Linked DNA regions of Xenopus tropicalis. The protein of the gene in region 1 binds, or shares a complex with, the protein of each later gene. Links are inferred from orthologs where the notes say so. Each region holds a gene or a part of one and is shown on either strand. Other genes may lie near its edges. The genes, in order: calcrl, adm, ramp1, ramp2, adm2 and ramp3.

The links.
Region 2: the proteins of calcrl (region 1) and adm are in contact, whole or in part, in a cryo-EM structure (PDB 6UUS), measured with the Homo sapiens proteins. The link is inferred for Xenopus tropicalis from reciprocal best matches to the Homo sapiens genes CALCRL and ADM. Residues at the interface, in NP_001258680.1 of Homo sapiens: Val36, Thr37, Asp70, Gly71, Trp72, Asp90, Tyr91, Phe92, Gln93, Asp94, Phe95, Asp96, Pro97, His114, Ser117, Thr120, Trp121, Thr122, Tyr124, Thr125, Asn128, Val135, Ala138, Leu139, Leu141, Phe142, Thr145, Thr191, Leu195, Ala199; in NP_001115.1 of Homo sapiens: Cys110, Arg111, Phe112, Gly113, Thr114, Cys115, Thr116, Val117, Gln118, Lys119, Leu120, Ala121, His122, Gln123, Ile124, Tyr125, Gln126, Phe127, Thr128, Asp129, Lys130, Asp131, Lys132, Asp133, Asn134, Ala136, Pro137, Lys140, Ser142, Pro143.
Region 3: the proteins of calcrl (region 1) and ramp1 are in contact, whole or in part, in a cryo-EM structure (PDB 6E3Y), measured with the Homo sapiens proteins. The link is inferred for Xenopus tropicalis from reciprocal best matches to the Homo sapiens genes CALCRL and RAMP1. Residues at the interface, in NP_001258680.1 of Homo sapiens: Asn39, Met42, Thr43, Gln45, Tyr46, Glu47, Tyr49, Gln50, Lys51, Ile52, Met53, Gln54, Thr68, Trp69, Asp70, Gly71, Arg113, Arg119, Thr120, Phe228, Leu231, Ile235, Thr239, Val243, Ala244, Gln250, Trp254, Tyr255, Leu258, Phe262; in NP_005846.1 of Homo sapiens: Trp59, Ile63, Tyr66, Arg67, Ala70, Phe83, Trp84, Pro85, Asp90, Phe93, Leu94, His97, Gly98, Phe101, Arg102, Cys104, Pro105, Ile106, Ser107, Gly108, Arg109, Ala110, Val111, Arg112, Asp113, Pro114, Ile118, Leu119, Phe122, Ile123.
Region 4: the proteins of calcrl (region 1) and ramp2 are in contact, whole or in part, in a crystal structure (PDB 3AQF), measured with the Homo sapiens proteins. The link is inferred for Xenopus tropicalis from reciprocal best matches to the Homo sapiens genes CALCRL and RAMP2. Residues at the interface, in NP_001258680.1 of Homo sapiens: Arg38, Asn39, Ile41, Met42, Thr43, Gln45, Tyr46, Glu47, Tyr49, Gln50, Lys51, Ile52, Met53, Gln54, Trp69, Asp70, Gly71, Arg119; in NP_005845.2 of Homo sapiens: Trp86, Ile89, Tyr93, Ser94, Arg97, Leu109, Gly110, Pro112, Glu117, Ile120, Phe121, His124, Gln125, Phe128, Ala129, Cys131, Ser132, Leu133, Val134.
Region 5: the proteins of calcrl (region 1) and adm2 are in contact, whole or in part, in a cryo-EM structure (PDB 6UVA), measured with the Homo sapiens proteins. The link is inferred for Xenopus tropicalis from reciprocal best matches to the Homo sapiens genes CALCRL and ADM2. Residues at the interface, in NP_001258680.1 of Homo sapiens: Val36, Thr37, Lys40, Asp70, Gly71, Trp72, Asp90, Tyr91, Phe92, Gln93, Asp94, Phe95, Asp96, Pro97, Ser98, His114, Ala116, Ser117, Thr120, Trp121, Thr122, Tyr124, Thr125, Asn128, Thr131, Lys134, Val135, Ala138, Leu139, Leu141; in NP_001240774.1 of Homo sapiens: Leu106, Arg107, Val108, Gly109, Cys110, Val111, Leu112, Gly113, Thr114, Cys115, Gln116, Val117, Gln118, Asn119, Leu120, Ser121, His122, Arg123, Leu124, Trp125, Gln126, Leu127, Met128, Gly129, Pro130, Ala131, Gly132, Arg133, Gln134, Asp135.
Region 6: the proteins of calcrl (region 1) and ramp3 are in contact, whole or in part, in a cryo-EM structure (PDB 6UVA), measured with the Homo sapiens proteins. The link is inferred for Xenopus tropicalis from reciprocal best matches to the Homo sapiens genes CALCRL and RAMP3. Residues at the interface, in NP_001258680.1 of Homo sapiens: Arg38, Asn39, Met42, Thr43, Gln45, Tyr46, Glu47, Tyr49, Gln50, Met53, Trp69, Asp70, Ser117, Arg119, Thr120, Phe228, Leu231, Ile235, His238, Thr239, Val243, Val245, Lys249, Gln250, His251, Trp254, Tyr255, Phe257, Leu258, Phe262; in NP_005847.1 of Homo sapiens: Trp56, Cys57, Leu59, Phe62, Ile63, Tyr66, Glu67, Thr70, Cys82, Tyr83, Pro85, Asn86, Pro87, Leu88, Gln90, Ile93, Thr94, His97, Arg98, Cys104, Thr105, Val106, Asp107, Arg108, His110, Leu111, Glu112, Asp113, Pro114, Val118.

The regions. Positions count from the first base shown.
Region 1 is NC_030685.2:46,305,106-46,308,605, reverse strand, and holds part of calcrl (calcitonin gene-related peptide type 1 receptor precursor), read left to right. Parts: intron 1-2,697; coding exon 2,698-2,824; intron 2,825-3,500. UniProt on the Homo sapiens protein: G protein-coupled receptor which specificity is determined by its interaction with receptor-activity-modifying proteins (RAMPs). Together with RAMP1, form the receptor complex for calcitonin-gene-related peptides CALCA/CGRP1 and CALCB/CGRP2.
Region 2 is NC_030680.2:7,312,291-7,316,576, forward strand, and holds the start of adm (ADM), read left to right. Parts: upstream 1-1,486; 5' UTR 1,487-1,597; intron 1,598-1,958; 5' UTR 1,959-1,971; coding exon 1,972-2,072; intron 2,073-2,191; coding exon 2,192-2,332; intron 2,333-3,392; coding exon 3,393-3,774; 3' UTR 3,775-4,286. UniProt on the Homo sapiens protein: Adrenomedullin/ADM and proadrenomedullin N-20 terminal peptide/PAMP are peptide hormones that act as potent hypotensive and vasodilatator agents. Numerous actions have been reported most related to the physiologic control of fluid and electrolyte homeostasis.
Region 3 is NC_030685.2:59,191,349-59,195,432, forward strand, and holds the start of ramp1 (receptor activity-modifying protein 1 precursor), read right to left. Parts: upstream 2,801-4,084; 5' UTR 2,758-2,800; coding exon 2,706-2,757; intron 1-2,705. UniProt on the Homo sapiens protein: Accessory protein that interacts with and modulates the function of G-protein coupled receptors including calcitonin gene-related peptide type 1 receptor (CALCRL) and calcitonin receptor (CALCR). Required for the transport of CALCRL to the plasma membrane.
Region 4 is NC_030686.2:22,072,069-22,075,568, reverse strand, and holds part of ramp2 (receptor activity-modifying protein 2), read left to right. Parts: intron 1-677; coding exon 678-755; intron 756-1,478; coding exon 1,479-1,581; intron 1,582-3,414; coding exon 3,415-3,500. UniProt on the Homo sapiens protein: Accessory protein that interacts with and modulates the function of G-protein coupled receptors including calcitonin gene-related peptide type 1 receptor (CALCRL) and calcitonin receptor (CALCR). Required for the transport of CALCRL to the plasma membrane.
Region 5 is NC_030679.2:89,361,201-89,364,348, reverse strand, and holds the end of adm2 (protein ADM2), read right to left. Parts: intron 898-3,148; coding exon 618-897; 3' UTR 501-617; downstream 1-500. UniProt on the Homo sapiens protein: Intermedin/ADM2 is a peptide hormone that plays a role as physiological regulator of gastrointestinal and cardiovascular bioactivities mediated by the CALCRL-RAMPs receptor complexes.
Region 6 is NC_030682.2:59,345,802-59,349,968, reverse strand, and holds the start of ramp3 (receptor activity-modifying protein 3 precursor), read left to right. Parts: upstream 1-1,367; 5' UTR 1,368-1,675; coding exon 1,676-1,727; intron 1,728-4,167. UniProt on the Homo sapiens protein: Accessory protein that interacts with and modulates the function of G-protein coupled receptors including calcitonin gene-related peptide type 1 receptor (CALCRL), calcitonin receptor (CALCR) and G-protein coupled estrogen receptor 1 (GPER1).

The DNA.
Region 1 (3,500 bases):
AGATATTAGTATCACAATAGCCTTGGATACTATGCTTGTTCAAAAACTCATCCAAGCCCCTCTTAAAGGCATTAAAAGAATCTGCCATTTCAACATCACTAGGAAGGGCATTCCACAACCTTACTGCCCTCACCATGAAAATCCACCTACGCTGCTTCAAATGGTAGCTCCGTTCCTCTAATCTAAAGGGGAGGCCTCTGGTGCATTGATCTTTTTATGGGAAAAAAAGAACACCCCCTATCTGCCTATAATCCCCTCTAATGTACTTGTACAGAGTAATCATGTCCCCTCTCAATCGCCTCTTTTCCAGAGAAAACAACCCCATCCTCGACAGTCTAACCTCATAGTTTAAATCTTCCATCCCCTTAACCAGTTTAGTTGCACGTCTCTGCACTCTCTCCAGCTCATTAATATCCTTCTTAAGGACTGGAGCCCAAAACTGCACTGCATACTCAAGGTGAGGCCTTACCAGGGACCTATAAAGGGGCAAAATTATGTTTTCATCCCTTGAGTCAATGCCCTTTTTATGCAAGACAGCACTTTATTTGCTTTAGTAGCCACAGAATGACACTTCCTGGAATTAGATAACACAACTTGTTAGCTACAAAAACCCCTAGATCCTTCTCCATTAAGGATCCCCCCAACTGCTGCCCAGTTTTCCAATTTTGTCAAATCGCTCTGCAAAGCAACAGCATCCTGAGTGGAACTTATAGTTTTGCACAATTTAGTGTTGTCAGCAAAAATAGAAACAGTACTGTGTATGCCCACCTCCAGGTCATTAATAAACAAGTTAAAAAGCAAAGGACCAAGGACTGACCCCTGCAGTACTCCACTAACAACACTGGTCCAATTAGAAAAGTTGGAGTGATATCAACACCCTCCCAGCAGCCGATCAGCAGAACAATGAGAAGGTAGCAATAGTAAGAAATCCAAGTCTGGCTTGGGGCTCCTCCAGTTACATGGGAGTAGGAGAAACAATAGGTTACCTGAAAGCAGTTCTAATGTGTAGCACTGGCTCCTTCTGAAAGCTAAGATGGCTGCCTACACAACAACATTACATCTAAAAAAAATACATTTGTTGGTTCAAGAATAAAATTTTAAATTAGTGAGTGAATTATTTGCTATGTAAACAGTGCAATTTAGAAATGAAAAAGTACACCATAAAAACCATGACAGTATCCCTTTAAACAAGCAGGACAATAGCACCTCTCATTGCGATATGCTGTGATAGAATCGATTCCGGTGCATGGAGGTAATAGAAAATCATATTTTAAAAAAGAAAGAAAAAAACATGAGGCATTTTGGACTCATACCCTGGGATAATTAGAGCCTCAGGGGATGAATCATGATTATGATCTTTATGGCTTTGTGTAATACTTGTAAGTTACAATTGTGTTATTTTGTTTCATTATGTTATTTTACTTCATTGTGAGTAGTAGTGGAACATTGATACACAATTTGGCCATTATATAATAAGTAATTGTTTTAAGGTGCTAAAGTTTTCTTTCCTGAATTTTAAAGTCTGCTATCCAGTGAAAACATTTCTTTATTTTTACAACAAACACATTAATTGAGGTAGTGAGATATTATTGGTACATTCTGGGTTGTTCAAGATTACTAGATCTAATATTGCATAACTTTTGGTTGGGTCCTCAACAATCTTGATATGTCATGCAATACATTTAGGAACATGTGTACTCTAACTGTGCTTTCAGTATTATTGCTCCAGTCAATTAAAGTACCCCATTATTAAGGCTTGCTCAAAACTTGCACTCTTTTCACAAATTGCTTAATTTTGAATATATAAAAACTCACCCTTATTCTATTCATATTTACTGCAATAATAATAATAATGACGGGTAATATTTTAGGATTGTTTAAGGATTGTTTAATTAGAGGCCATATCTGGCCTCCAAGAGGCCTTAAAGAGGTACTGACACCAGAAATATTTTTTTTTTTTTACATTGGACATAAAATTGTCTTTGCATGCTATTTATAATGTTGCCATAAAAGTAATTGTCAGATTCTTTTACATTCCCTATCTGATCCCCCCATGTTCCTCTATGAGGGGGCTGCCATATTTGTGCAGCAGGAGTCCGTTGGCATTAGAAGCTATAACTGACAGGTTGACAGTCAGGTTGGCAAAACAGTCAGGTTTAAGAACTTTGACTAATAGTTACTAACATAAGATGCCCTATCAGAATTAAACGATCAACATGACCCATAGATAACTTTTTATGTAGATTCATATTTTAAAACGTAGTTTTTCCATGTAAGTATCACTTTAAGGAGTTTCTGTGATATATCAGTGTCTGTGTGTCTTAAACAACATATAGGCAGATTAATTGGTTTTACATATTGAGCTCTAAACTCACATTTGAATAAATCTGCCCCTTAAAATCTAAGTTTAGAGCAAATATTTGGCATTCCATATCAACATTTAAAAAACCTATCCAGCTTGTTATCTTTTCTTTTTTTTTCCAGGATCTTGCCCAATATTAAGTATATGAGCCTTGTTAAATAACTTGTTTTACATATGCCTTGGCAACATATATAGATTGCTTAGCACTGTGAACACATATGAATTATTAGTCATGTATAATTAAAACAATATAATGCAATGTATTTGTGTGTGTGTATATTGATTATTATATATTACTTTTAAGGTATTTTCTTAATACAATATTTTTTTTTTAGGAACTTGAGCTGCCAGAGAATTACACTCCATAAAAACTTATTTTTCTCTTTTGTTTGCAACTCTATTATCACGATAATATCTTTATCAGCCGTGGCCAATAACCAAGCTTTAGTAGCAACCAACCCAGTAAGTTGCACGTTTATATATTTAAGGGAATGAAGCTAATTGGTATTAAATAATTAATTTACCCTTTACTTTTATGAACAATTACATTCTTCTATTGTCACACGTTCTTTCTAGAGTTTTCTTCTAATTTGAATAATTTCGCATTTTAAAAAAAAAACAAAAGCTTGTTTATTTATTAATATGGTAAACTTGTTCAAATAGGAAAACCTGAATACCTCGAAGTTTTGAGTTTACAAACTCGAAAAACTTGAATATCTTGAATGGAAAATAAGGCTTGACTTTGCCTAGGACAACTCCCATTGACTTCTACACGAAGTGCTTAATTTTTCTGTTTTTTTGCATTTTGCAAACAGACATTCCAATTTGAAAATTGATAAATCACCCCTTAGTGTTCAGTTACACTGAATCTAACCCATTAAAATCATGTTGTGTAACCTTAAAGCTCTAGACAACTGAATGTAGCACATTTTGGTTACAGCTGGTGCAATTTTATATTTTTCTCAAATTTGAATATAAAAATTGGGGGTTCATATTTGGTTTAAATCATTTAGATTCAATCTGAATTATTATTATAATATTCCAATAAAAACTACAGAACCAGAAAATCAAGGGCTTTCCAAGCCTGAGCCCAAACCAGCAAGAACTATAAAAGAAATTTACATGTAAGAACTAGGGA
Region 2 (4,286 bases), on another chromosome or scaffold:
CAAACCCTTTCCAAGTGTCAGCAAGTTCTGGAGTTATACAGTGGACCCATCAAGATCTCAGAATGAACTCCACTGCTAGAGAAGAGGGGAACACTGTCCTTCAGACGTTTAGAGTCAGCCCCAAGTCTGGTTGAGATTCCAAACCCTTTCCAAGTGTCAGCAAGTTCTGGAGTAACACAGTGGACCCATCAAGATCTCAGAATGAACTCCACTGCTAGAGAAGAAGTTAGCACTGTCCTTCAGACGTTTAGAGTCAGCCCCAAGTCTGGTTGAGATTCCAAACCCTTTCCAAGTGGTCAGCAAGTTCTGGAGTTATACAGTGGATCAACGTTGGTCCTGCTCCCCTTCTGAAGATCTGAGCAGAATGTGCTGAAAATGGTCTCAGCCCAGCCCATGCCTTGGGTACATTTTCAGAACCAAATGGACTCCCCATACCTGAAGTCTGGAGAGATACTTGGGGCTCCCAAAATAAACAGCAACAAAGGAGGTGCAAATACCATTCCCATTGCTCACAGTGCTGAGTTATCCCCAAATCACAAGGGAGGCGTCATCTACCCCCACTCCTCCCTATCTGCCCCAGCTAGCAGTATGACAACATGGGGTGACTCAGCCCAAAGGCATGATACTTCTAGATGTCACGACTCTCTCGGCATACTATGTATATGCCCTTTAGGTAGCACACAAAAACCAACAAACAAAGTGGGGGGGGGGGGGGGTGAGTAGAGGGCTGATATCCATACGCCAGTTCTGTGGGCAAGTGCAAACACAATTGCCTGGATCCAACATCCCAGAGATGCCTAATTACTGTTAATTCAAGCAGTCCAGGAATGTTAGAAATGTTCCCTACCTTATTAACCCCTTCGACACAAATATGTGTTCATGAGAGTTGTAGTTCAGCAACAGCTTACCCCTTCCCCTGTACACTAAAGCTTGATCCAAGGGCTTCATTTATCAAAGTATACCCCCAAATACTAATATATGACTTCTCTATGGAAAATGGGGAGATTAATGTATCTGTCACCAGTAACTGCCCCCCCCTCGAGGCAATAGGTTGGGGTTCTTATGTGTTTTTATTTTATATATTTTGTAGCCTATGTCTGAGCTAATGGGGGGGGGGGGGGGGCTACAAACAGATTAAAAACAGAACCCATGCCACACCCCAAACTATATCTAATATTATAACCCCCCCATTCCAGTAGTTCAGGAGAAAGTTGATTGCTTTCATGAGCTTGATAATTTATTCATGCTACTTAACCAATCCCCAGAGGAGAGATTAAATCCTTCTTGTAACCCCCCCAGCACCCACAATATCCTTACCGTAGCTCTATCTGTGTTTGAAACCTGTGCCTTAACCTATACAGCACAGAACTTTCCATAGAAATTAGCAGTGAGCTGCAGAGCTGTAGAGCAGAGCTGTCACTCAAACTCAGCCCCGCCCCCTTGGTTCTGTACATAAGGCAGCCGAGCAGCCCTGAGAGCCAGTTGTTACTAAATAGCAGCCAACAGAGAGCAGCTCTCTCTCTCTATCCTTATAGCTTGGAGGATTCTCATTGGAAGAACCTTGTTGGATTATACTTCTTATCATCACACAGAAAAGGTACGGCAGCTTTTCAGCTTCACATTTTTAGCACCGAGGGGGTTAGAAATGTATTTTATTTAGAGTTTTATTTCGAATTTGGGAGGAATTTAGGTCAGTTTGTAAGGTGTTTCTGCACAGCCATATCAGTTTCTGCACAGAGCATAGATTGCAGGTGGTTGGCTGATAGCTACACCTGCGCAGAAACATCCCCGTATAGTCATGTATAGAAATCTACCCAGTCCTGCAGCTTTAGAAATAGAAATAAGGATATTTATGGAGTTATTGCACATTTACAGAACTCTAGATACTATAGAGTAGATAGAATAAATGGTATTTTTCAATAATAATAATAATAATGTTGCCTTGTTTTCCCCTACAGAATCCAGTCCAGAATGGATCTGTGCCAAGCAATTCTCCTGCTGCACTTCATCTGTCTGACCTTTTTGGGATTAGTTGCGGGCAGAATGGAATTTATCCCGGGAGACAGAAAAAAGTAAGTATCCCGACTCCCAAAGGGCTTGTACTTGCCCTTTACTTCTAGAAATGTCAAGTGGTTAGTCCAGTCCTTAGACGTACGTGTTGCTTACAAAAACCTGTTTGGTGCCCTTGTAGATGGAGCTCCCTTGGGATGCACAGGCTAAGAAGGGATCTGAAGACGGACGTCCAATCAGCATCAGCGGCTAAAGCAGCCTCAGAAACGTCATTTGTCAAAAACGAGGACGTTAAGGATCCCCTGAGCTCCCACCAGAGCAGGTAAGAGAGCCGGCAAGGGCACAGCCGCCCTGCATTATCTGCAGCCTAAGCACAGTCCACTGACTAACCTGCTGGGCAAGGGTCAGCTCTGTTATTTAGTGTAAGCATTTTTCTGAATGAGCCAGTAACGGGGATGCAGAATGAAGGGGGTGGGTGCTGGAGTTTTGAGAGCTTTGGGTGCTGGGTGTAGAGTCCTCTTGCAGTTCCCTGTTGTGAGTGAGTGTGTGTGGGGTGGGGGTTATCCCTATTTCTGTGCAGTTTAGTTCTCCAATGTGTGTGCTGAAGACTTGTCAGCCATCTCTCCTTGGGGTTCACGTCTCTTAGAGATCTCAGTTATAATTATGGCGTGGGCATCTTGGATCTATGAAGTCTTCTCTCTTGGTCTTGGACTTGGTCAGTTTTATTTGTGTTCCCCAACCCTAAAGGGTTCCAGTTTTCTCACCAACCTCTGCTGTGGAGGAGTGTTGGTTGGTGTCCATGATGTACTCTATAGGGTGGTATAGGGTGTAGGTTCTACTCTCTAGGGTGGTAGGTTCTACTCTATAGTGTGTAGGTTCTTCTCTTTAGGGTGGTAGGTTCTACTCTATATGGTGTAGATTCTTCTCTTTAGGGTGGTAGGTTCTACTCTATAGGGTGTAGGTTCTTCTCTTTAGGGTGGTAGGTTCTACTCTATAGGGTGTAGGTTCTTCTCTTTAGGGTGGTAGGTTCTACTCTGTAGGGTGTAGGTTCTTCTCTTTAGGGTGGTAGGTTCTACTCTATAGGGTGTAGGTTCTTCTCTTTAGGGTGGTAGGTTCTACTCTATAGGGTGTAGGTTCTTCTCTTTATGGTGGTAGGTTCTACTCTATAGGGTGTAGGTTCTTCTCTTTATGGTGGTAGGTTCTACTCTATAGGGTGTAGGTTCTTCTCTTTAGGGTGGTAGGTTCTACTCTATAGGGTGTAGGTTCTTCTCTTTAGGGTGGTAGGTTCTACTCTATAGGGTGTAGGTTCTTCTCTCTAGGGAGGTAGGTTCTCTTGTCTGAAGAATGTTCAGTTCTCTTACCATTGTCTGTTTTGATTGCAGCAATGATGCCCACATCCGTGTAAAGAGGTACAGACATACCTTCCACCACTTACAGTCGGTGAGAGTGGGCTGCAGATTTGGGACCTGCACGGTGCAGAACTTGGCACACCAGATCTTCCAGTACACCGACAAAGACAAAGACAGCACAGCACCAGTCAACAAGATCAGCTCACAGGGGTACGGCCGGAGGAGAAGGTCTCTCCCTGACAATAAGCTCCAGTTGACAGTCAGAGATGGTCACATCAAGCCAAGCTGGGTCAGCACAAACCAGCCTGGTGGAACCCAACCAAGACTTATGGACATTGTTTCAGCTGGAAAACCCAACCAAGGCAGGGAAACCTGGAAAAAAGGCAAAATATTGGAAGCTTTGCTCAAGACTTAAAAAAGAAGAAGAAGGAAAACCCTCCAAATGGAGATGTAGCAACTTCTTCAGAAAGGTCTTCTGCTCAGAGGAGCTCATAGAATTCCTGGTGTGAGTCCCGCCGAAGGGATCGGAATGCCGTAAAAGTGTTAGAAATGCAACAAAAGGATCGGGTTCGAGGTGGTCGAACAACCTGTGGACATGGCAGTAAAATAAACAAAAAGGAACAAGGTCTACATATGGGATTTTGCTGTTTTATTTTGCACTTTATGGACGGAAGGGACACACACACCGAAATAACACAAACTGGATACCGGCTTTAGGGTGGGTGCCAAATCATATGGCCCTGGCTGGGTGCTGCAATATCGGGTTAATCTTGCCTTGGATCTGCAGAGCGAAGTCTCAACCTCAGTGTGAGGACCAGAAGGTCCCAACAGCTCCCCCTTGTGGTGGCCGGAGATATAGCGACAAAAACTTCTTTCTGGCTGCCAGGGGGTGGGGGTGTGTTTGTGCTATTTGCTCCCCTTTCCCCT
Region 3 (4,084 bases), about 13 Mb from region 1:
GCTCCTAACTTGGACATCATTCAGAGGTACATGCTAGGGAGGTCCAATAGTTGCATGAAGCACCTTTAGCAACTCCCACAATGCTGTGCTCTAAACGTTATGCCCGTAGAGTAAGGTGCAGAGTGCAGCCATGTCCTGGGTGCAAGTGCTCTGTAAGTGATTATATTTTGACAGTTTTTTCCCAAGATCATATTGATTTTGCGTTTTAATGATAGTTCCCCTTTAATATTTTATTTGCTCTGCTGTTTGGAATTAAAATGGATTTGTAGATTCAAGATTAATAGTAAGTAGATGGCTTCAACAAATAGATATCCAATACAAATACTCTAAAAAAAGTGACAGAATTCATGGTTTTTTTTAGTTTTTTTGGGGGGGTGCTGTATTCAGTGACCCTGGCAACCAGATGGCATTTTAACTGAGACCTGGAAAGAGGCAGAATTCATGGACAAATAAGTAAAAAGAAACAAATAGACCAAATGAAAAGTAACTGAGTAGGTCACATACAATATATGTAAAGCTCATTTTAAAGAGAACCTATAGGACAAATAAGCATTGGATCTGAATGTTGCACTTCTTAGCTGTTAGAGCCATTACTAATACAGTACCTCAGGGATATGCATCGCATTACCACAGAAAGTGGCACAGCTTTGGTACCCATAATAACATCTGCCAAAATACAGGTTATCAGAACTGAATGAACAAGTATGTTCCAGGTCTTACTTATAAAACGAGCTCATTTGTGCGGCACAACTAGGCCAGTACTCTTTACTTACCCTCAAGACAAAAACCTATCTGTCTCCTATTATTAGCAGCTCTGCAGCCATTTTTCCATACCTTCCTCTAATTACTGCAAAGAAAAACTCAACACTCATTCCCCCTCCCACATTATTTCAGCTGGCAGTACCCCTCTCCCCCCAAAATCTGCACAAGGAACACTTGCTCCCTCGCTTTGTCTTTGTTCTACAGCAAACAAGCTGGACGAAACACCCCAGAGAGGTTTGTGGCACTTGGAGAGATAACATGTTATAAGCATTATGAGTATGCCTCTATTAGTTCTATGGAGTCTGCTTTGTATCAGGTTATGTGCAGCTATCACATAAAGCAAAGGTATATGGATTCCAATGATTTTTTTTATGGAGTTTGCTTGGTACCAGCAATGCCCTGGCTAATGCAGCAAGAAAAATCGCGTTTTGTGCAATCTCAATTGTGTGTTTCTTTTTTGCAAAATAAAAGCAACTGTCACTATAAAATTTCAGTAGTTTTACAGTTATTTGTAAATGTAACTGGGATCATAAGCAGTATCTGTTTATCCCTTTCTCTTCTCTGGCTCTGACTTCTGAAACAATGTAGCAGAATTCAGTTCTCCCCCAGGTCTGTTAATCAGCTGCTACATAGTTCCAGGAGCCAGAAGTGCTCAGACTATAAACAGCCAGACAGACACTGCTATCAATAGTAATAACATTTACAAATAATTTTAAAACCATTGAAAATGTGTAATAAATTAATATTTAAAAGTTGCTTAGAATTACACATTCTTGCATTGTACAACAGGGAAAACTTTGTATTTGGAGGAGGTTACCTTTTAGAAGTTAAAAATGTATATGTTTTGTAAAGTGTGGCTGAGAGTATAAGGAAGCAAGGACAACTATGCCTTACAGGCTTTTTTTTTAGCAAGATTATTAATCATTTTCTTATTAGTGATGTTTATAGACTCTCTCCCAAGGCAGACAATTCAGCTTCATCACTTAAACACACAGCCCCCAAGCATGCCCAATCTGTACTGGGATACCCTTGTCCAGCAGCAGATGTAACTGGATTGATTACTGGATCACATTATACATCAAGTAATATTTATTGGTGTTTTTAAAACTTCAACCTTGAAACTGTGTATTTGACTCCCAATGCATTATCTGCTACATAAGAGAATTTCTTCTCCATTCTTGTTTACAGGGTAACCCTTTTGAAATAAAAAATACCAAAAGTGGTATAAAGGTGATACCTTTATTGGCTAACTAAGATAACCATAGCAAGCTTTCAGAACATTTTAGTTCCTTTTTCAAAGGTAATCAGCTTGAAAAAGGAACTAAAATGTTCTGAAAGCTTGCTATGGTTATCTTAGCAAGCCAAAGGTATCACCTTTATACCACTTTTGGTATTTTTTATTTCAAAAGGGTTACCCTGTAAACATTTTTTGACTGGCTAACACGGTACATCACCTTTTCCTGCTTCTCCATTCTTGTGACTCCTCCAACTGGCAAACCTATAATGATATCTATAAGGCATTGGGCTCAATGGGTCCTGGTGTTATAACCAAATGATACTACATAACAAGTACAGAGAAAAGACACTATAATAAAAAGGCTGTATCTGTGCAAACTTTCTGAGATAGAAACAGAACTTTCTAAGATGTATGGATGACTGGCAAACTAAAGAGTAGCATTACCCTGGGTGCAGGCTGGACCATTCACTGTGCAGGTAAATCACACATTGTATGTTACAACTATGGGAAGTAAAGAAGCTGCTGTTACAGCCATGTGAGGCTCAATGTGATGATAAACATGAGAAAGGGTGTGAGCTCTACCCATAGGAGATAGTTTAATGGAAAAGGCACAGTAAATAGTAATTATCAGCTGTCAGACTGGAACCCTGAGAGTGAGAAGTAGAACATGGCAACTGTGCTGGGTATGGCAGGGATGGCCACTCACCTAGGAGGATCCATAGAAGGTGCTGGGGGTTGAGGAGGAATCCCTGTGGCATGTCTGTGCTGCCGGTGTATCTCACAGGGAGGCGTCCATCACAGCACAGTTCTTAGTCCCACTGTTGGGTGCAGCAACCAGGTGCAGGACCAGCACAAATGCCCTCACCCCCCCCCCCCTACCAAAATATACAGGAGGAGCCAAAATGGACCACCCAGCACTGATAATACTTTGATGCAGTCGGCAGTCAGAATGGTTCTGTAGGACAGACGGTATTGGACGAATAAAGCGCAAAGCCTCCCATATCCCCCCTCAGGTGGCAGCTGGGTTCCAGTGAGTGAGGCGGCGAGGCATTTCCCTGCGAGTTGGGCTCTCCCGTCCCGCACTGAGGGGCGACACACGGCCAATTAGGCAGTCTTCCCTCGTTTGCTCCACTTTACACTGGATTGGGTTCAGCCTTCCGCTGGGATTGTCTCCGCCGCTACGGGAAACTTCTTTTGAATGGCAGGCAGTGCAGGCGTGTGTCTGTGTGGGAGGAAGGTCGCTCTCTCATTGCCCGGAGTGTCCGTGTGTGTAACTTACTGACCCGGGCACCCAAACTAAATGTAGCGCCGGTCGCTTGGTGGAGGCATCCAACTAACAGAGGGGAGTGTCCAGCCTGCTCTCTATAAGGAGGCATTCCTGGAAATGGCTGGGGAGTCACCTGTACCAGTCATGGTACCTTCCTATCTCCAGCCTGAGGCATGGAATCCGCTTGTGTCTCTGGCAATCAGCTGCTCAGAGCTGGAGAGATGGATTCAGCCCTTGGCCACTCTTGGGTGGGAGATAGGGTGCTACTGGGGTTGCCATTTGTCATGCCATCCATCTTGTTTAGGAGGGCAGGTGTGGGGATGGGGGGCTGTGTGCCTAAAGAGTTCCAAGGATTGAATTTATCCGCCACACAGTGAATATTGCATTCAGTCCTTGTTTTCCCACAAAGTCCAGGTAGCCCAGAATATTAGAGTGCAGGCTGCCAGTGGCCTTTCCCATTCATTTGTGTCACCTTTCCCTGCCCTATCTTGGCTCTTCCAACACCCCCCTCTGTTGGAAGTACAGTAACCCATAATTTTAAATGAGTTGGCAAATTGAGTTTTTCTTTGTGCTACTTGTAGCACAGGTCACTTGCCCATAGCATTCTCTGTGTGACATGTATAAACACATGCTTAAAGGCAATTCTTGGCTGAAAACACAGTTTGCCATGTTTGCCTCACTACATTTCAGGCAAAAATCTCAAGCCCAAGTGGCTTCCCCATTAACATCATATGCAAGTGATCAGTAGAGGGGAACAGGTGTATCTTCATTGTTCATTCTTGTTGTCACAACAGGGGGGTAGGAAAACACCCTGATAT
Region 4 (3,500 bases), on another chromosome or scaffold:
GTAACTGGAAGAGTCCCAAGCCGAACTTGGATTTCTTATTATTGAGTGCTATTCTGATATAAACTGGGAGCCGCTATCTTGCTACCTTCCCGTTGTTCTGCTGATCGGCTGCTCATTTCGATATCACTCCAACTTGCAGCTCAGCAGTAAAGTGTGACTGAAGTTTATCAGAGCACAGGCCACAGGACTGTAACACCCTGGGAAAGAAGAATATGGCTAGCCACATGTGAAATTTCAAAATAAAATATAAAAAATCTGTGTTTGTGAAAAATGGATTTCAATGCAGAATTCTGCTGGAAAAGCTCTTTTTACTTACACATTTTGAAAAAAACATGTTTTCCCATGACCCCTGGTCCCTGACCACTTTGCACTTGTCTTGCAGAACTGGGTTTCATAAATGGAGTATCTATCTCTGGTACAGCCTTATAGAAAACTCCATTTATATACCTTGGATTGGCTGGCCAGCTACTCAAATAGTCTGACTTGACTACATCTCCACACAAACCGCTGCTCCTGGTTCCTCCCTTCAAACTCCTGACTTGAATAATGAACAAAATTTGCTGACTAATTTAAGGGTCAGTTTGCCCCTGACCTTCAGCCACCCAGTGTATTCAGAAGTCAATAAAATTAAAGCTCCTTAAAGCACTTTTTTTCCTAATGCCAGTTTGTTTCCACAGTTGCCAGTTCAGTGGCAGTCCAGCAAAACCTCACAGATTCTGCTCATAATGAGACCAAGCACATTTTTAAGGACATACGTAAGTTTTGATTTTGATGTGATATCTCATTGAAGTTCTAACTACATACTTATATAGTGTTTGTTGAGTACAAAAGTAATTTGCATTGATCACTTTTAAAGGGGTAGTTCAGCATTAAACTAACTTTTAGTATGATATATAACTTTTTAGTCAATATGCAATTGGTCTATGCAATTTTTTTTTAGAGATTTTGAATTATTTAGCTTTTTATTTATCAACTCTCTAGTTTAGAATTTCAGTAGCTGTTTGTAATTCTGTGCAACATTCTAGTATACATTGCTGTTGCAAGGGATAGCTGTCTGATATTTGCATTCTCTGAATTACGGTTTATGACACAAAACCACTTTGAAGTTTCATATTAAATGAATATAGGAAAGTTAAAGGGGGTGGGCAAGTTTAAGGGGTGGGCAAGCTTAAAGGCCAGGCAAGGGTAAGATTTGTGATGAATTTATCATTGGGTGTCCACTGAACGGTAGCACAGTGCTTAATGTATCTATAACCTGGTGATTTTTCTTAAAAAGGACATTATTATGCAATTATTTGAAAAATACTATAGAATGTATATAGGTGTGTAATTCCATAGATTATTATTATAACTCTTAAGTGTAAGCTCTCTTTTGTATCAGTTGCAGAGTATTTTATAATTCTATATGTTTTATAAATATGTGCTAATAATAGTAATAATAACAATAAAGTTTCTATTTATAATTTTCTTTCCTGCAGAGTCAATGCATCTTTATTTTGCAGAGTCATGTTGGCTTGGTTACACCAGGAATATGTCCACAGTAAACTCGGATAATTGGTGTGAATGGCATCATATCAACAGGTAGACATTGTAAAAATATCAAAAGGGTTTGTGTTTTGTTGAGATATATATACACAGCAGTGATCCCCAACCAGTGGCTCGTGAGCAACATATTGCTCACCAATCCCTTGCCCCCAAACCAGGTAATTATTTTTGAATTCCTGACTTGGAGGCAAGTTTTGGTTGAGTAAAAACAATACTTACTACCAAATAAAGCCTCCTGTAAGCTGATAGGGTGCATAGAGGCTACCTAATCGCCAATCTTAGCCCTTATTTGGCACTTCTATTAATTTGTGATGCTTGTGTTGCTCTCCAAGTCTTTTTACATTTCACTGTGACTCACGAGTAAGATGGTAAGGTAAGGTTGGGGACCCCTGATATACAGTATATATACTTGTCAGGCTCAGAACACCAATATATGAAATTAGTGCTAATTTATTTTACTGCATTACGTCATGCATGTGACATCATGCTCATCGTGTGTGCGCGTGTGATATCACGCTCAGCGATGGAGCTGGAAGGTTGGGGGGTCGGGTTGCGCGCCTATGTCTCAGAAGTGACATCACGCACATCGTGCACACTTCCGCAGAGCAACCTGACCCCACAGCTCCGTTGCTGGATTTCCTATGGCAATCCATGGCGGAGGCTGGGCGCATTTTTTTATAAAAACTTATAGGCACCTGAGGTGCCTTATTATAAATACGGCCCTGGACTCATGATATTATTAATGACTCTCAACATTAAATTATACGGTGTCAGTGTTTTTTCAAACCTCAAGACATGGACCTAAAACATACAATTTTTTTTGGCTAGAATAAAAGTGCAATTAAGAAGACCCTAGCATACTATAACACCTTTATACATTTTTCAGCCTATTACCCATGTTGTCTAGAATAAAATAAATATAGAATCTGGAACAATGCTCTTTATGAATTAGAATACAGGAGGGTATGGCCTTCCCTGTCTTAAAGGAGAACTGTACCCTCAGAATGAATACTTAACCAGCACATAGTTTATATCATATTTAGTGGCCTATAAAGAATCTTACCAAACTGGAATATATTAGTAAATAATGCCCTTGTGCATCTTTTACCTTGAGCGGCCATTTTGTGATAGTCTGTGTGCTCCCTCAGAGATCACCTGATATGAAGTTATGCAGCTCTTGTTGTATGTGGGCCTTGGTTTGTTTGTGTACACTGTGAATTGTACAATCCCAGGAGGGGGGCCTTAATGGGTTGTTTTTAGATGCAATTGTTTTTGAACAATACAGTCAAATTTAGACAACTGCAATAACACTAAGAACTGGTGTATAAAATGCCTTATTTATATAATTCTCTCAATGAAAGCTACTATTGTATATGATACAACAACACATTTCAACAAAATAAGGATTACTGTATCCTTGATATGTACAAATATTGCTGCTTTAATCCCTGGACCCCCCCACACCCTTCCATTAATCCATTCCCCTAGCCTTAATTTCTTGTTTATGTATAGAAAATAGTCTTGGCAAAAGCATAAACCGCTGAAACCAAATATTTTTATGTTTTGCCTATCTTAAAGTCTGACTGAGCAGCAGTTACTTTGCGGCTTTTCATTTAGGTAATAATGGGCCATAATCAAGGATGTTATTGTAATCTGGGTTCTCTTTCTAGCAGACAATTGTACCATAGTGACAATATGATCAATGCCAAGAGTTGACTGTTTCATTGATTGTGAAACTTGTGACTCTCTGCTTTGTTGAACTAATTTGTGCTGTAGTAGCATACTGTATATATCTGGGTTCATCATTAGATGATACTCCACTACTGTGTGCACACACTGTATAACTAGTTTTTTTTTTTTCTATCCTAGACATTACAGTAATTTAAGAATATGCCTAGAGGACTTGGCTGAAATTTTGAATCTTGCATTCCCAAATAATATAGCCAATAACTACA
Region 5 (3,148 bases), on another chromosome or scaffold:
ATGTTGGAGAAACTATGTATTTTTTTACAGTGAAAAAGTAACACCCCCTAAGTGGCCAAATCATCATGGAAGTGGTAACATATAACTTAGCTTTTTAAAACAATTTTTAGAGTATCTCTTACATGGGAGTACCTTCTTTTTACCCAGTGTTTCACAAGTTATTTCAGTTTAATACATGAGTTCAATATGAGCAAGCTTATTGTAAGATAAAAACTTAGTAGCTGTCCATTAGGTGAGATATCCACCCTGATATTGGGATAGTATTAAATGTACATTGGGTAGATGCAGTAATGGTAAAACAGGATGCTCTGCACAAGCAAAATGTTTTGTATGTAAGCACTACTCTGTCTAGTGCAAATCGTGTAAACAACAATAAGGACACAGCAAGCACAATAGTCAAAATAGACATACAGACAATTTTTAAAGGCAGAAATAACTGAAGGAATGCTAAAATATGGAGAAGAAATAAGCTGTGAGAAGGATGAGACAGACACAGAGAATTTTATGCTGTCTATTTACTATAACTTATGAGTATTTCACACTGTCTGGTGAACAAGAACTGGATGCTGTTCTTATATTACGTATGATGTGGTCTTTGGTGCCTTCACCCAAATGGATCAGCCATAACTGTGTGGGTTGCTGAGTTCAATTGGTGAATCCTCTTTTCCCGATTGTCCCATCAACTGCCAAAGTCGGTGATTAAGGATCTGTACTTGGCAAGTCCCCAGGGAACAGCCCACACGCATAAGGCGAGGTCCATGAGAACGACGAACCCGCCTCTTCTTCCTCCTCAAGGTTCCCAGATTAAGCAGCTTTGTCTCAGCTACTGATGGAGTGAAGAGTGACAACTCTATCAGGGGCCCTTCCTTGTGCCGTTTTTCCCTGTCAGGGGGCTCCCTGGAAAAGAAAAAGTGGTAGAAATATGTTTTAATTTATGCTTGCCCATTTGTATTAAAGGGGACTTGTCTCCCAGACATAAAAAGCAGTATAATAGTTACATAGTTACATAGGGTTTAAAAAAAGACCAGAGTCCATCAAGTTCAACCCTTCCAAGTAAACCAAGCACATACAACCTATACTTACCAATTTATACTATCACATACATAAACTATATATACAACCATTAATACTAACTGTAGATATTAGTATCACAATAGCCTTGGATACTATGCTTGTTCAAGAACTCATCCAGGCCCCTCTTAAAGACATTAACCTTTATCTGCCATTACAACATCACTAGGAAGGGCATTCCCCAACCTCACTGCCCTCACCGTGAAAAACCACCTACGCTGCTTCAAATGGAAACTCAGTTCCTCTAGTATAGGGGAAGGGGTGGCCTCTGGTGCGTTGATCACTTTTATGGGAAAAAAGAACACCCCTATCTGCCTATAATCCCCTCTAATGTATTTGTACAGAGTAATCATGTCCCCTCTTAAGCGAATAAAAGTCCTTTTCAAATGAAACATTAAACTATTTTTGTTTTGTTAAAGCAACCATACGTGTTGTAATTGTTGGAAATCACAACTGACGATGATACTTAGCCTTTTCCTCCTCTATACCTCAAGCATAGACGTGGAGCAGGTAGTTACTTTCACTTTCCATTTAGCACTTCCATAGATGTCACTGCACTCCTCTCATTCCCCCTCCCTCCTCTGTGTCTATAATGGAGTAGCCTGTCCTGTACATAGTCATGGGTATAAGCCCCCCATAATGGTGCATAAACAAGATTTTGGAGTGATACAAAGTTTGCCTTAAGTGATACTGACACTAAAAAACTACTTTTCAAAATATGAATATATTTATGAATATATAAAAGTTACCTATAGGTCATGGTGATGTTTTTCCACTGACAGGTTTGCTTTTGTAAGTAATTGTTACAGGAAGGCTCTAAACCTGACTTTTCCTACTCAGTCTGTCAGTTATAGCTTCTAATGCTAACAGACTCATGAGGAACATGGGAGATCAGACAGGGAATGTAAAAGCATCAGACAAATACTTTTAAAGCAAAATTATAGACAGCATTCAAAGACAATGTTATGATTGACATTAAAAAAGTTTAATTTTAGCTGTCAGTATCTCTTTAATAACACTGCCCACACTGCCTGTTTTCTGTGATTGTGACTCCTAATACTGAAGCAAACAAGTTTATATATTTTACTTTACTTGTAAGTGAAGTTTATCTTGCCTGACAATTACAAAATTAAAAAATTTGAAATTACTTTCTTTTAGTGACAGGTCCCCCCCCCCCCCAAAAAAAAATTGCTACTGCTGTTGATTGTTTCCTTGGGTATAACAGTGCAGATTCACTATTACAAAATGAACTCGCCTGACTGTGTATGTTTGAGCAGATCAGCGTAATCAAGTGTATGACTGAGAGCAGAAAAAAACACTTCTGATGTTCGCATGACTGCAGGTCCAAGGTTCATCTCTAATATTATCCAGTTAGCAGAACTGAGCTGCTCATCCACACAGTAAGAATGATACAGATCAGCCAATTTCCAGCTACCTACTCCAACCCAGAACACTGAAATTGCTTAATGGTCAACAATCACAATTTTTCTTAATTCCTGCTTCTAGGTATAACATCATCTATATATCCATATATATTTTTACACAGGTTTGAATAGTGCTGTATTATTGTATTGGATACCATAGTTGATATTATATATCTAGCATTTCTATTATAATTATCCTCCAACTCAGGGAGCTAGACCTTCTCCCAGCCAAAGGCTGCCTGAGGAAAATAACAGCACTGATTATAAAGAGTTTACAGGGCATATTTTGCCATCCTTGCTTCTTTGTATCTTATATTTTATATCTTTCCTTTCTTAAATTTTCATATGTTCACTGACTTTTCATTTTGCTCTGTATCACTGTAACAGTAATATCCAGCAATGCATGCTGAATATAAGCACAGTGAGAGAAGGTAGGCAATTGCCCAGTTTCCTACAATTGTTATACTGTGTGAAAACTCTAAGGGGCAGATTTATTATATTGTATAAAAAATGCTGGCAAAATTCACCACACATCGCCAGGCTTCACCACATATAAAACACTGTAAAATCGGCGCAATCTTTTTACATTTTTTTCTTCCACCAGAACTTATGTAAAATAATGGTGTAAAATCTGGCATTCAGAGGGTGAACGT
Region 6 (4,167 bases), on another chromosome or scaffold:
GCCATAATTAATGCCAACATTTTACATTAGCTTTCAACAGTTACAAAATGAAAGCAAAGCATCTGTTTGGCTGCTATGAGCAACATCACCGGTGATGTTTTACTCCACTTTTACACAGCATGATAAATATACCCCTAAATGTCCATTAAAGTAAAAAGAACAAAGCCTTGCAAGTGCAGTAGACTTGTATGCAAGAATAAGTTGTTGCATAATCAAAAGTTGTTAGGCCCCACAGCAAAATCATTTTAGCCCCTCTCCCCAAACTATGAGAATTTGACGTTTAAATAATACTGAACCTGCTTATTAGTCAGTGCCCTTTGGGCTCCCAAGCAGTTATAAGCTTCACTTTCTGTCTAGTTACACCCTCATAAACTCATGCAATTGAACAGACAAGGCTAGCTTCTGAGCAAGTTTCACTTACATACTTATTTAAGAGCTCTGGCACCCAGGGCATTTCTTTTTTTTTTTTTTTCTAGCATGGGTGACAAAACATCTCATGTTTCCTTCCCACTGTCATTAATGTAAATTACTATTGAGAAAAAATGTGCACCACCACTGCTTTCCTTAGTAGCCCAGGCTAGAGTTTTGCAGCGGGTCAGGTAGCAGCAGGTTACCTGCCAAAAAATCTGGTACCCTGCAGGTTGCAGGTATGACTTTTGGATGAGACATATATATTTCTTATATTATCTATAAAAAAGGTTAAAATGTGGGTTTCAGGTTTAGGTTCCTTTATGCCAGGGCATTTATTACTTCTGGTTTCACCAGTGGCTTCTGTTCCTGATGGCAACAGAGAATGGCAGTGCAAAAAGTGGGGATGGAAATGCTAATTCTCTTCACTGCCTTATAAACATGCCCCTGTGTGCAATAACCAGTGATGGGTGGTCCTGTGGGAAAGACAAAGTAGCTTCTGATATACAACACCCCCTTATCCAGATTCCAACCTGTTATTGCTCTCTAGCTGCCAGAGGCTCAGAAAACCTCTGAGATAACAGTTTTGACACCATTTTACCTTAGTATAATCATTCCCTACAGGTGCTACCCTATACTTTGGAGCTTTTTCTTTCCTTCTCCAAGTGCTGCTCTGCGGGGCCTGCAACATCAAGCCAAGCACTCTATCTGCCCTACGGACAAGCAGTGGCAATAACCCAATGTAGAGGCATTTGCAGCTGCACAGCCAGCGCTCCCCGCCGTACTAGGACCCTGCAGCGCCCAATGCACAGCAAGCCCCGCCCTCCAGGCTGCCCAGATGCACAGTGTGACAGGATCCAGACTTTGGCACCACACTGCAAACTACACACATTGTCATCCTTCTGGCTGGACACATTCGGCTATCAGGGGATCCCAATAATCCCATAGCGGCAGTATTCTCAGCCTTCTTATTGTCCGCACATTCCGTGCTGAGGGATTGCGAGTATCGCTGTCATTATGACAATCCGCTCATTGTAACGGGGATCTCGAGTGGAGTTTGATAGGAGCTCGGTCACACACACGACCATTGCCCGCGGCTGCCTTTTCTCGTCTTGTGTCGCTACTGCTGCTGTTGCTGTTATTACGGAGAGAGAAGTTTATGTGACTGTCACCGCCGATCTCCTCAATGAAGTCTCCTCTGCTTTACTGAAACCTCCTCCTCAGATGCTTTCCTTTGCCCGCCCGGCGCCTCTTACCTTGGATCGGGATGGATAAACACATCTTGGCTCTGCTGCAACTTTTCCTGTCTCTGGTTTGTGGTAAGTGGCCCCATTGTGTGTGCCTGGGGGAATGGGGGCATCACTCCCTCTGGGTATGACATTGGTGGGCACTCATACAACAACTGCTGGCTCTTTTGTTCCTTTCAAAGAACACAACCGCTGGGTGATAAATGGGATTTCCTTCATGGCAATAAGCTATTGTTTAAAAACATGGATCCCAGTTCATTTGGCATCCAGGGAAACAGATGTATCTATCTCCTACCTCCCATCTATAGATATATAATCTATCAAGCTCTCTATCTTTCGTTTTTTCTTTCTATTTTCTATACCAATCGGTCTGTCCCTATCTGACCATTCATTTTTTGATCACTGTCACTGCCTCTGCCCCTTTCGCTAGCATCCATCTGGCATTTCTTGTTCAGTGTGAAACTATGCCTTGGCCAAGCACAGGGTGCAGTCTGTGAACTTGAGTTTTCTTATAAGAAAGTACTGTAATTGTATTAGCCAGGATCTATCTGTTATACCTGCCACAAATCAAGGAGCCACACTCACAGCAATGTACACTTGAGGTGCTATGGCAGAACTAATACTCATATAACAGCAAATAGGGATTCATGTATGTATGTATGTATGTATGTATAACTTTATTTATAAAGAGCAACAAGGGTACGCAGCGCTGTACAGTCTTACAGAATACAAAATTACACACAGGGAGGACAAGTGATATAATAAATAAATACATATATGTATATATATATATATATATATAAGTGCCATGCGGTATGAGACACAGTAGGAAGGAGGTCCCTGCCCCGTAGAGCTTACAGTCTAGCTCAGTAGCTAACTAAATGCCTAAAATAAATAAATAAATAAGGATGTCAAGATTTGCAAGCTGGGGGAAACAAGGTGCAAACATCTTGAAGAAAAGTAATGGAATCAAATGTTAAAAAGAAATGCATGGAAGTTGCACAATGGTGGTTAAAACAATAGCTTCGCTATATGGCAACACAATATAGCTGTGGTCTGTTGTTTTAGTGGGGTTGCAGAATGGAACAGTGATTGGCACCAGGGCCCTAGGTTTGAATCCAGCCAAGGCTGGAAGTTTTTATGTTCTTGTGTTTGTATAGGTTTCCACCCACAAAAATCGTCCCTTGATAAAAATGCTCATATTGTGTGTGAATATTATAGGGGCATTAGATTGTAAGTTTCACTTGGACAGGGTTTTTCTGTAAAGATCTGCAGAATATTTTAGTACTTTATAAATAAAGGAAAATAATAATGGAGACTTTATGAAATTGTCTCTGGTCTCTCCTCAGTTATCGTAAATGACCAGTAATCATTTAATCTCTTCCCTTGTGTTTAGAGACTCCAGAAAAAAAACTTTAGTACTGGTTTTTATCATGGATCAAAATATATAGGTATGGATCTCTTATCCAGAAAGTTCCGACTTACCAGAAGGCAATCTTCCACAGAGTCTACTTTAAGCAAATTATTTTCCATTTTAAAAATGATTTCCTTTTCCTTTAAAATAATAAAACAGCACCTTATACTTGAATGTAACTAAGCTATATATATCCATATTGGCGGCAACACAATCCTATTAGGTTTATTTAATGTTTAAATGATTTTTAGTAGACCTATGGTATGGTGATCCAAATTATGGAAGGGTTGCTTATCCAGAAAACTTCAGCTCCCAAGTTTTCTGTATAATAGATCCCATACCTGTATTGTTAAAGACTGAGCTATAAAAGTCATTTTACTTCCCTCCTATGGTTAAAAGCAGGTTGATTACTGCCTCTTCTATCATAACAAGGATATCTACTTATCATTGCCAGGATAACCAACACAGTCCAACAAATGCAACCAGTATTTAAGTTTACATCTGTATTTGAGTAGTCAAAATACCTAATTCCATGTGGATAACATATTTTGCTATAGAAAAATTAATGATTTGCTCTTACAAAGTAGACAGATTACATGATTAATAAGTACTTTTTGCACAGTTATGCTTTTATAAGTCTCTACTTTCACTTATCATCTTACAATTTTATCTGTAGCCGTTATTTTATTTCAGTCATGTGTCTTGTGGGTTTGTTTAATACACTGATAGGAATGGGTGTGCATTTTAAATATAGATTTTCAGATTACACTCTGCATAAACTGTTAAATAGGACATTGTACATAGTTATAACATTTCACCCTTCCAGGCTGATGAACAGGTATCTGTTCCTACTTTATGCTGTAGGTCTACTTGCTCATTCCCAGGAGCACAAAGTCTTGAGAAGACTGCTGCGATTATGCTGATCGAATCATATTTGCTGATTGCATAAGATAGAGCAATACATTGAAGAGAAAAATGTGCCTGCACCCATGTCCCTTGTGAGAGCTGGTTGTTGTGCCTTAATGCAATAAGTATTCGTTTAACAAATATAAATGAGGCTGAGCAAACATATTTAATGTGTTAGGGGTTGCTGTAGAA